Arabidopsis thaliana: one gene and its partner. The protein of the gene in region 2 interacts with the protein of the main gene of each other region in a biochemical or structural test. Each region holds a gene or a part of one and is shown on either strand. Other genes may lie near its edges.

Region 1 (7,795 bases), on a different chromosome or scaffold from region 2:
AACATTATCCTTAGACGAAAAAAATAAAACAAAACAAAAGAGGGAAAAAGGATACATGAAAAGAGATTGATCACTATATTGATGGATCACAATTCACAAAAAGCCAACCCATTGCCTATTGTACACTTGCACGATACTCGAAATTTCCAAATAATTCGGAACAAAAAAAACAGCTATATTCATTTTTTAAAATAATCAACCAATCGAATTTAGTCTTAAATTGTATAATTGTTTTAATCATTTAGGTTTACGATCATAATTAGGTGGTCATAGATGCCTATATCGTTGCATTAATTGAAGAAGGGAGAATAATAATCCTACCATCTATGATCCTATAAGATTGCAATAAAGCTATATATATATATATATATTCATATAGTATATATGATCTAATCTCTTGTTAATTACTATATAAATTAGGTAAAGGTTACCGTAGAAAATTACGTGGAACAATGTTGAAATGCTTACATAAGTTGACTAGTCCGTGTTGTTTTTGTTCTTTATAGAATTATAGTCAAGAACGGCGAATTATTAAGTTGTTTCTGATTATAAAATAAATAGGTTGTTGTGAAATCGGGGGAAAAAGAATAATGAATACTTGTTAAATATTGGTCCCCTAATAAATGTTATTTATTTTGGTTATAAGAAAAAAAAGGAATGTGTTGTGGAGAAGAGAGCGCGAGTGGAACTTGTTGCTACCCAATTGTCGCCACACTTCCCACACGTCCCCTCTTGTATCTTTTTTTTACTTTTCACCACTTCCTTTGTCCTCTGTTTTTTTCCCACCATTTTCTACTTCATCAATCTATTCCTTTTGTTTTTTTGGTAAAATATGTAAATATCATCTATTTAAAAATAAAATATGAACGAATAGATTTATAAATATACAAAATTGAAATTTTAAGATACTTTTAATCGAAAAGAGTTCCCAAATATTTACGTAATTAACATTTTTCAAAGTTTATTTAGGTTTAAATGTAATTTTCTGGTGTACCACTAACTAGACTATACATAATATAAACACGACTGTGAAACATGATCATCATTAGCTGTTGATTATCTACTAAAGAATTGTTTGTTATCTCTACATAAGAATATATATTGAACACGATTTCTATTATCTTTTACTAATTTGAAATAGAATTGTTTCTAGTAATGACACAAAATTAATTGACTCAATCTAGTAAACCTTGGAGCACATGCAAACTCAATTAAACAAGTTTAAACCTTTGTATTTGCATTTATTAATCAAAGCAAAACTGTGAAGCAATAATTTAATCAATGGTTTAATTAAGAAGCTAATTAGCTATTTGGCTCCTTTAGATTACGAACGGGTGCTGCTACATCTCCTCTCTGTCATTAGTCATTACTAAATATTTAAACCAAGTTCGAATCTGTCTTACATTATCTTATTTCATAAAATCTCAAAGCCAAATTCATCTTTTCTTTTGAAAGTGCTCCCTCAAAAGCTAAACCTCAAACATATAAAATAGCAAATTCATTTTAACAAAAGCTTAATGAATTCCACGTAAGCAATTACATAACGTTTTTGCCCCTAGTCAGTAGAGTCCCTCCTTCTAACTCCGAGAACCAGCGTCCATGTCTCGCGGACCAAATGCGTTCGTAGGTAAGACGCTTGCACGTGTCGAGATGTAATCGGTCACGTGCCAACCTGGGTTGGTTGCATCAGCATCCGACGTGGCGATGTGAATGGCCACGTGCTACAAAACCTATGTATAGAAACACCCACCCAATCCCCAAGCACTTTTATTCATTTTCTATAAAAAAATTTACAAGGATCGTATAATACTACTAACAGTTTTTTTTAAATATTTTCCAGATAAACATTAATAAAACGATAAAAGGCAAAAAATAAAAAAGAAAAGAAAGCAAAAGCAAAATCAAAATCGATATATCAGACAACGCCTCGACCTTTCTTTCTTTTTTTCCTTCTCATCGTCTCCGTTGAACAACACCACACAAACACCAGAAGAACACCAGATAATTCCCATGGTGAACCGAGCTCAGATTTGAAAATTGAAGGTCGTAGACGAATCATAAGGAAAGAGAGAAGTGGTTTGAGATTTCTTTTTTGACGGACGAAAACGGAGATAAGCTTTGGGGGAAATGGCGACGCCGTTACCAGATTTTGAGACGGCGAGAGGCGGCGGAGCAGTGGCGTCTTCTTCAACCACGGTTCTTCCGAGTTCTGTGTCTTCTTCTTCTTCTTCATCTCGTCCGTTGCCTGTGGCGAATTCGTTCTCGGATGACGCGGAAGAGATTTCTCCGATCCTGATTTTCTTGTTCTTTCATAAGGCAGTATGTAGTGAGCTTGAAGCTCTTCATAGATTGGCTCTTGAGTTTGCTACTGGTCACCATGTCGATCTCCGGCTGCTTCGTGAACGGTACCGGTTCTTGAGATCCATCTATAAGCATCACTGCAATGCCGAAGACGAGGTAATGCGAAAACCTGGTCCTCTTCTTTTAAATTTGATCTCATCATGTTCTGAAAACTGCTGAATTAGAATTTGGAACCATCTCTACTTGGATTTTGAACTCAATACATATAGCTGCAAATTTGTGTAAATCTGACTTGATTTTATCTTAAACGAATTGTAAGTCTCAATTAGTCTCTTGCTGATCATCCTATTGATTCTATGAGTGCGTTGTAGATAGGGAATCTATTGCAACATATTTGTATTGCTATGTTATGAGGAAGAATTGTTGACAGTTGCAAATCTGTGGATGTAGGTGATATTTTCAGCTCTTGACATACGTGTGAAGAATGTAGCGCAAACATATTCTCTTGAACACAAGGGGGAAAGCAATCTTTTCGATCATCTCTTTGAGCTGCTGAATTCTGCCACGGAAACTGATGAAAGTTACCGAAGGGAGTTGGCTCGTTCTACCGGAGCACTTCAGACTTCTGTTAGCCAGCACTTGGCGAAAGAACAGAAACAGGTATTTTTTTCTTTTCCTTCACATCACAGATGTATTATCTCTGTTGTTTTCTATTAACACAGATCGAATATTTAGCATTACGCATTGGCCTTTATTAATTACGGGTTGTTCTTGGCTTGTTGATAGGTGTTCCCCTTACTTATTGAGAAATTCAAGTATGAGGAGCAAGCTTACATAGTCTGGCGGTTTCTCTGCAGTATTCCTGTGAATATGCTTGCTGTGTTCTTGCCATGGATTTCTTCTTCCATTTCAGTAGATGAAAGCAAGGAGATGCAAACGTGCTTAAAGAAGATAGTTCCAGGCGAGAAGCTCCTTCAGCAGGTAAGTTTTGAATTAAGATCCAACTTTCTAAGTTGAAAGACTTTGGCTTGTTGATTGATATTTTCCTTTTGAAGGTTATTTTCACCTGGCTGGGAGGGAAAAGCAATACCGTGGCTTCGTGTCGCATTGAAGATTCTATGTTCCAGTGCTGTCTAGATTCTTCTAGCAGCATGCTTCCTTGTAAAGCAAGTAGAGAACAGTGCGCATGTGAGGGTTCCAAGATTGGGAAGAGAAAGTACCCAGAGCTTACTAACTTTGGCTCATCTGATACTCTGCACCCAGTTGATGAGATAAAGCTCTGGCACAAGTCAATCAACAAGGAGATGAAAGAAATAGCCGATGAGGCTAGGAAGATTCAGCTGTCTGGAGATTTTTCGGATTTATCGGCATTTGATGAACGCTTACAATATATTGCTGAAGTGTGCATCTTCCATAGGTATTTGTTGTATCCTTTCATTTACAATGAAAACAGAATAATCTCAATTTTGCTATTGTTTATTGGCTATCTTTTGTGGGACTATTCAATGTTGATTTATTGAGGTAAATAACTAGATTTGTTTTATAAAGTTGATGTTGATGGCCACTAAAACACGTTTGCCAGCTGTGATGTGTTTTACTTTCAAGTGATATGGATGTTGTTTATCCTTTACTCTTCTCATGCTTAAGCACGTTTCTGCATTAGAGTGTTATCATTCGAAAAAGAGTTTTATCAAATGTTCATATCTACATACAACTTTTTTTTTCTTCTGACAGAGATTGAATTGTCATTGGACTATTTTTGAGATGATCTGTTCTTTTCTCGTGCAGTCTTGCAGAGGACAAGATCATATTTCCAGCTGTAGATGGAGAGTTTTCATTTTCTGAAGAGCACGATGAAGAAGAAAATCAGTTTAACGAGTTTCGATGCTTAATTGAAAATATCAAGAGTGCTGGAGCCTCTTCTACTTCCGCTGCCGAATTTTACACTAAGCTGTGCTCACATGCTGATCAAATAATGGAAACTATTCAAAGACACTTCCATAACGAGGAAATTCAGGTGAACTATTGCTTTTAAGTGCTGTATGATATTGTAAACAGGTGAAACTATGAAAGTTTGGCATAAGATCATTTGATACTATATGCTATGAAGATTCAAGATACCAATTTCAGGATGTCAACTAACTTGTAGTGGTTGCAGGTGCTACCCCTTGCACGAAAGAACTTCAGCTTCAAAAGACAACAAGAACTTCTCTACCAAAGCCTGTGTATAATGCCATTGAGACTAATTGAACGAGTTTTGCCATGGTTGACGGCATCTTTAACAGAAGATGAAGCTAAGAATTTTCTGAAGAACTTGCAAGCTGGAGGTACTATCTACTGTACTGCCTTAAACTTAACCTTCTTTCAAATTATTAGCTACTCACAATTTTGCATAATTACATGCTTTTTCTTGTGGCCTCAGCACCTAAATCGGATGTTGCTCTCGTTACTCTTTTCTCTGGTTGGGCTTGCAAAGGACGCAAAGCCGGGGAATGCTTGTCTCCAAACGGGAATGGTTTATGCCCTGTGAAAACACTAAGCAACATTAAAGAAGTCAACCTTCAGTCATGTAATGCTTGTGCGTCTGTTCCATGCACGAGTAGGAGTACAAAATCGTGTTGCCAGCATCAAGATAAAAGGCCAGCTAAGCGAACTGCTGTATTGTCTTGTGAAAAAAAAACCACCCCTCACTCGACAGAAGTTGCAAATGGGTGCAAGCCATCTGGAAATGGTAGGTCATGCTGTGTTCCGGATCTCGGAGTTAACAATAATTGTCTGGAACTTGGTTCTCTTCCAGCAGCTAAAGCTATGAGATCTTCTTCGCTAAACTCTGCTGCACCCGCTCTTAATTCCAGCCTCTTTATTTGGGAAATGGATAGTAACAGCTTTGGTACTGGACATGCTGAGCGGCCAGTTGCTACAATATTCAAGTTTCACAAGGCCATAAGCAAAGATCTAGAGTTTCTTGATGTTGAATCTGGAAAGCTCATTGATTGCGATGGAACATTTATTCGTCAATTTATCGGTCGATTTCACCTACTCTGGGGTTTCTACAAGGCTCATAGTAATGCAGAAGATGACATCCTATTTCCAGCTCTAGAATCGAAGGAGACACTTCACAATGTCAGTCACTCTTACACGCTCGACCATAAACAGGAGGAGAAGTTGTTTGGAGATATTTATAGTGTCCTTACCGAACTTTCAATTCTTCATGAGAAGTTACAGAGTGATTCTATGATGGAGGACATAGCTCAAACTGACACTGTTCGGACGGATATCGATAACGGTGACTGCAACAAGAAATACAATGAACTGGCTACAAAGCTACAGGGGATGTGCAAATCCATTAAAATCACTTTGGATCAGCACATTTTCTTGGAGGAACTGGAGCTTTGGCCTCTATTTGACAAACACTTCTCCATTCAAGAGCAAGACAAGATTGTGGGTCGTATAATCGGAACAACGGGTGCTGAAGTTCTTCAATCTATGTTACCATGGGTGACGTCTGCCCTTTCTGAAGATGAGCAAAACAGAATGATGGATACCTGGAAGCAGGCAACCAAGAACACAATGTTCGATGAATGGCTTAATGAATGCTGGAAAGGATCACCCGACTCATCCTCAACAGAAACATCCAAACCTAGTCCACAGAAAGGTAAAAGCATTGCTTAGCTATTTCTCACCAACTTAATATCTAACTTGTTTAATGTAACCTTAGATGTTTCTTCTTTGGACTTCATAACTCATACTTAAGCTGGCAACTATAGTTTCTCTGTGCTAAGTTTGTTTTGCTTATGTCAAGTTTATTTTCCATATAGATAATGATCATCAAGAAATCTTGGACCAAAGTGGTGAACTATTTAAGCCAGGGTGGAAAGATATTTTCCGCATGAACCAGAATGAACTAGAGGCTGAAATCAGGAAGGTCTATCAGGACTCAACACTTGATCCGAGGAGAAAAGATTATCTCGTACAGAATTGGAGGACCAGGTCAGATTTTTTTCACTATTTCCACGCATGGATCCTTTATTCCACATTGTCATGCATACAGCATGCCAGACATAAATCTAGAACCCCCCAAAGAGATAATACATTTCCCTGTATTACTTGAACTTCTTTTGCAATGCGGAAGAGTATAAGTGGTGCTCCTGTCCTTTACAGTTTCCCAATCCAAAATAACGTGCTCAGTTTATTTTCCACTGTGCATGTATATGTGTCCTTGATTGAGCAATCTTCTGATATAGAGAACCTATAATCTCATTCACATGTCCCTCATACCCGAATCCTATTTGTTCTAGAGTAACATTTATTTTAAAATTCTTCTGTTGGTGCATTTATCAGTCGATGGATTGCGGCTCAGCAAAAGTTACCTAAGGAAGCAGAAACTGCAGTAAATGGTGATGTTGAACTTGGATGTTCCCCGTCTTTTCGGGATCCCGAGAAGCAGATATATGGATGCGAGCATTACAAGCGTAACTGCAAGCTTCGAGCTGCTTGTTGTGATCAGTTGTTCACTTGTAGGTTTTGCCATGACAAAGTAAGCGACCACTCCATGGATAGGTAAGATCTTATATTCTAAAGCCAGTTTCCCCTAATTAAATTGAAACTTCTTTGTTCGTATTTTTTTTCTCTCTCTGTGATATGTAATTTTATATTTGAAACATATTACAGAAAATTGGTGACGGAAATGCTCTGTATGCGGTGCCTCAAGGTGCAACCTGTTGGTCCCATCTGCACAACACCTTCATGCGACGGATTCCCAATGGCAAAGCACTATTGCAGTATTTGCAAACTTTTTGATGATGAAAGGTAAACAAAACCCAACAGTTTGATGCATAAACGAATCAATTTACCACTGTCAAAAATCAAACTTCAGAAGCTATTCTAACCGTGAGAAACAATTATCTGCATTCAGGGCCGTTTACCACTGTCCATTCTGCAACCTTTGCCGGGTCGGGGAAGGACTAGGAATCGATTTTTTCCATTGCATGACATGTAACTGTTGCCTAGGGATGAAATTAGTAAACCACAAGTGCCTCGAGAAGAGCCTCGAGACAAATTGCCCCATCTGCTGCGAATTTCTTTTCACATCGAGTGAAGCAGTTAGAGCCTTACCATGTGGTCACTACATGCACTCAGCTTGCTTCCAGGTTTGCAAATCTCTCTTTCTCTCATTAAACTTAAATTAACTTTTAACGCCTAAAATCAAAACACTTGCTGTTACTCTGGTCTTTCAGGCTTACACTTGCAGTCACTACACATGTCCAATCTGTGGAAAATCATTAGGAGATATGGCTGTAAGATGATCCCCGCCCCTCAAGAGTGTAACATGCATATCACATCATGCAAATATTGTTTACTGAACTGTTTCTTCTTCGTTTCTTTTGCGAACTCCACAGGTTTATTTTGGTATGCTTGATGCACTGTTAGCTGCAGAAGAACTTCCAGAGGAATACAAAAATCGCTGTCAGGTGAGAAACACTAAAACTGCTGC
Region 2 (4,024 bases):
AAAATCTCAGAATCACCTGATGAAAAACCAGAGAGACACAATGCACACAACTCTCAGATATAAAAGATTGAAACTTTTAAGTTTGATTCAGAAAGCAAATTACAAACCACAAAGATTCATATCATATAATGTCAATCACTTACTGGAAACTTCATATAAAATCAAAATTGAAAAAAAAAAACTGAATTCGAATTATGAAAATCAAAAAGGAATGAAGCGGGAACAAAACCTTGGGGATTTAGTTTGAATCGTGATGAAGAAGGAAGATCAGAGCTTGAGGGAGATTCGAAATTTCCTCGCTTCATAACAAAATCTGAGAAATAGATTTGAAAAACAGACAACACTAGGTTACAAAAACTGTTACTCGATGAATAAAAAAAGAGGACTTTTTCAAATCTTCACACACAAATTTCACAAAGAACCCGGATTCAATTTTTGAAAATTGGGCTCTTTGGTAAAATGTAAAACGTTTGGGCCGAAAAAAGAAGAAAAAAACAAAACTGTAAAGAGGCAAAGAGGATATTTTGGTAATTCACTCTGACGCGGATCCTGAATCTCGAATTATTCACCGTTGATTATAACATTATCTAACGGTGATAAACAGCGATCCGCGTAGTTTCTTCTTATTGGTTAAGACGAATCTAAAACAGTATATAAACTCTGGAGAAGATGGAGAGAGTCCATAACAACAAATTCGATTCTTATAACTGTTTCCCTCTCATCTTTACACAAAAGTATTCTAATCGATTTCAATGGCGGGTCGTGGTAAAACACTCGGATCTGGGTCTGCGAAGAAGGCAACAACAAGAAGCAGCAAAGCCGGTCTCCAATTCCCTGTGGGTCGTATCGCTCGTTTCTTGAAGAAAGGCAAATACGCCGAACGTGTTGGTGCCGGAGCTCCGGTTTACTTAGCCGCCGTTCTCGAATACCTCGCCGCTGAGGTAATTCCTCTTCCCTATTCTTCAAATTTTCGATCTTTTAGTTCAATTTCTATAAACCCTAATTTTGACTGATTTTGGGGAAATTTTGAAAAATTAGGTATTGGAATTGGCTGGAAACGCAGCGAGGGATAACAAGAAGACGAGGATTGTTCCAAGGCATATTCAATTGGCGGTGAGGAACGATGAAGAATTGAGCAAATTGCTTGGAGATGTGACTATTGCTAATGGAGGTGTGATGCCTAACATTCACAATCTTCTTCTTCCTAAGAAGACCGGTGCTTCCAAGCCATCTGCTGAAGACGATTGATTAATCAACCAAATCCACTCTCTTGTGTTTTTTGAGTTTTTAAGGCTTTTTAAGAGTAATTTAGATTAGATCTATGGTGAAGAAAGAATCTATCTTCTGTGTTTTTTGAATTGAATTGAATGTTCATATGCTTTCAATTTCTTATGGAATCAAGATTTTAACTTTTCTAGGTTTTCGAGTTATGATGATGAAATTCTTAGTCTTATAAATCACTAAAGACTTGGGATTTTTGATTGGTTGACATAAAGAATGGACTTTTGAGTTAAATTTGGGAAAGCTACTGGGAATGACATCATGAGAGGTGTATAATTGAGCAACTATGACATATATTAAAAGAGATCTGAAGGATTGATGATGATTGGTGGGCCAATAATGTACAACATCCATGAAAATGAAAGATCAAAATTATATAATAGAAACCGATTGAGAGAGAAAGAGAATCCATGCCTAGCACTATACCATATCTCTTTTTTCTTCCGTTTTTCCACACATTGTCTCTACCTTTCCCTTTTTCAGATTTGACCCTTTGTTTTCAAAAGAAACGATTTTTAGTAGCCGCCGGGGAATCAGGAGAATGGTGTCTCCGGAGAATACGAACTGGCTTAGTGATTACCCTTTGATTGAAGGTGCTTTCTCTGATCAGAACCCCACTTTCCCTTGGCAGATAGATGGCTCAGCTACTGTCAGGTTAGTTTTTTGTTAATCAGATTCAAGGGTTTCTGGGTTCTGTGTTTTGTTTCTTTCACCATCTATTAGTTTTGTTTCTTGGCTTTGGACTTTTGGTGTTTTAGGATTGGTAGTTATATCTGGAGAAGTTGTTATGGATGTGTGATCACTCAGTTGGTTTTTAGATGCTCTTGTTGTGATAGAGATATTGGACTTCTGCATAAATCAATCCTCTGTTTTTTTTTTTGTCTCCGTTTTGCTTACGTTCCTCTGTTTCCTAAAGAAGTAGACGAATCTAGATCTCTACCAATTGCGAAAGGAAGGTTCTGTAATTAGTATCTGGAGAAGTTCTTTATGGAGTTTGACCTTGTTGATCACTCAGATTGCTATTAAATGGTCTTCTTGTGATAGAAATATGAAAGAACTGAGAACCTAAAGTATAATGCTTTTTCTCTCTGTTTTGCATCCATTCCTCTGTTTCCTTAAGCAGTAGACGAATCTTGCTTCTATTCTGGAATTCTACAAATTGGCTGTAATCTTTGTAATTGATCCTTCCTCTTGTGTTGATGTGATCTGTTCACAGTGTTGAAGTGGATGGCTTCCTTTGTGATGCAGATGTGATCAAAGAACCAAGTTCAAGGAAGAGGTATCAAACGCTATTTGGTCAAACCTGCGTTAACTAATGACTTTCTTGTTCTTGCTATGCAATATTGGAACCTGTTGTAAAGTTTTCCTTCTTACTGCTGCAGGATCAAAACTGAATCTTGCACTGGTTCTAACTCGAAAGCTTGTAGGGAGAAACAAAGACGTGATAGACTAAATGACAAGTATTTTCTTGCTTTCTCGTCATTCTCTTCTATCATTTACCTTTTGAGTTCTTAATCTTTTGGTATGGTGCTTTGTCAATAGGTTTACGGAGTTGAGTTCCGTATTGGAACCTGGGAGAACTCCAAAAACAGACAAGGTTGCTATTATCAATGATGCAATTCGCATGGTGAATCAAGCAAGAGATGAAGCGCAGAAACTAAAGGACTTGAACTCAAGCCTCCAGGAGAAAATCAAGGAGTTGAAGGTAAAAACTGAAAACTCCTGCAAGATCTTTAGCTTGTCCATTGATCTTATGTATATGCCAATATGTAGGATGAGAAGAACGAGCTGCGTGATGAGAAACAGAAGCTTAAGGTCGAGAAGGAGAGAATCGATCAGCAACTGAAAGCTATTAAGACACAGCCTCAGCCTCAACCTTGTTTCTTACCAAATCCGCAAACACTCTCTCAAGCTCAAGCTCCTGGAAGCAAGCTTGTCCCTTTCACAACTTATCCCGGCTTTGCAATGTGGCAATTCATGCCTCCTGCTGCTGTTGATACCTCACAGGACCATGTCCTTCGTCCTCCAGTTGCTTAAAGCTGCTGCTTCTCTCTACTACTATTAACGGTTCTGTAAGATTACTTCTTACGCGCTTTTTTCTGATGTAATGATTCTCACATTCTGTGATTGGTGACATAGTCCACTGCAACTTAAAATGTAAAATTGAAATAAGCTTGCACTAAAAATCAAATCTCATTGTGCAAAAAGTTGGATAATTTGGAAATCATTGTTTTACAGATTGTGGATTCAGAGGAATATGTAAATGTGTAGGAAGTTTCTTTGAATTGATTGATTGATTCAAGTTTAGCATATAAAAGCAAAGTTTGTATTTTTCAATTACACAAACTCAAAAAGGATTTGCTTTTTGCTTCCTTTTGTGAAATGTTCTTAACCCAAAGAAACTTTTCATTGAGACCTTCTCTTGTTCATGACTTTCTTCAACAGACTCTCACGACCAGGAAAAGGACTTTGAATCTTTGGCTCAAGTTGCTTCTCTACATCTTCTAGCTTTCCCAAAACACCCTTCTGCTCACTTCTATTCACTGTCTTGCCATCATCTCTCCCAAGACTCTGTCTCATCCTTTCTCTCCTCTGTTTTCTCCTCCATCCATTCTCATCTTCCTCTTCTTCCTTCTTCTTAATCTCTCTTCTTCTTACCATTTCTCCTCTCTCTTCTTCTTCTTCGTTCGCCTTCCTTAACCTAGGAATCCGACCACCTTTGCTTGTCCCTAAAAGCTCAAAA

The links. Proteins that work in one complex are often made in the same cells at the same time.
Region 1: the proteins of bHLH115 (region 2) and BTS form a complex in vitro, tested with the Arabidopsis thaliana proteins (one study listed by BioGRID).

Annotation. Positions count from the first base shown.
Region 1 is NC_003074.8:6,272,181-6,279,975, forward strand, and holds the start of BTS (zinc finger protein-like protein), read left to right. Parts: upstream 1-1,785; 5' UTR 1,786-2,127; coding exon 2,128-2,457; intron 2,458-2,751; coding exon 2,752-2,961; intron 2,962-3,087; coding exon 3,088-3,282; intron 3,283-3,356; coding exon 3,357-3,718; intron 3,719-4,089; coding exon 4,090-4,318; intron 4,319-4,459; coding exon 4,460-4,628; intron 4,629-4,723; coding exon 4,724-5,956; intron 5,957-6,119; coding exon 6,120-6,291; intron 6,292-6,642; coding exon 6,643-6,861; intron 6,862-6,972; coding exon 6,973-7,110; intron 7,111-7,216; coding exon 7,217-7,451; intron 7,452-7,538; coding exon 7,539-7,598; intron 7,599-7,700; coding exon 7,701-7,772; intron 7,773-7,795. UniProt on the Arabidopsis thaliana protein: Essential protein. Negatively regulates the response to iron deficiency and thus contributes to iron homeostasis. Exhibits E3 ubiquitin-protein ligase activity in vitro.
Region 2 is NC_003070.9:18,926,196-18,930,219, forward strand, and holds bHLH115 (basic helix-loop-helix (bHLH) DNA-binding superfamily protein), read left to right. Parts: upstream 1-1,681; 5' UTR 1,682-1,822; coding exon 1,823-1,935; intron 1,936-2,039; coding exon 2,040-2,237; intron 2,238-2,497; coding exon 2,498-2,560; intron 2,561-2,663; coding exon 2,664-2,741; intron 2,742-2,823; coding exon 2,824-2,986; intron 2,987-3,054; coding exon 3,055-3,318; 3' UTR 3,319-3,485; downstream 3,486-4,024. Other genes in the region: AT1G51055 (FBD-like domain family protein), read right to left, coding at 1-16, 108-120; HTA10 (histone H2A 10), read left to right, coding at 753-941, 1,039-1,248; AT1G51080 (golgin family A protein), read right to left, coding at 3,688-4,024.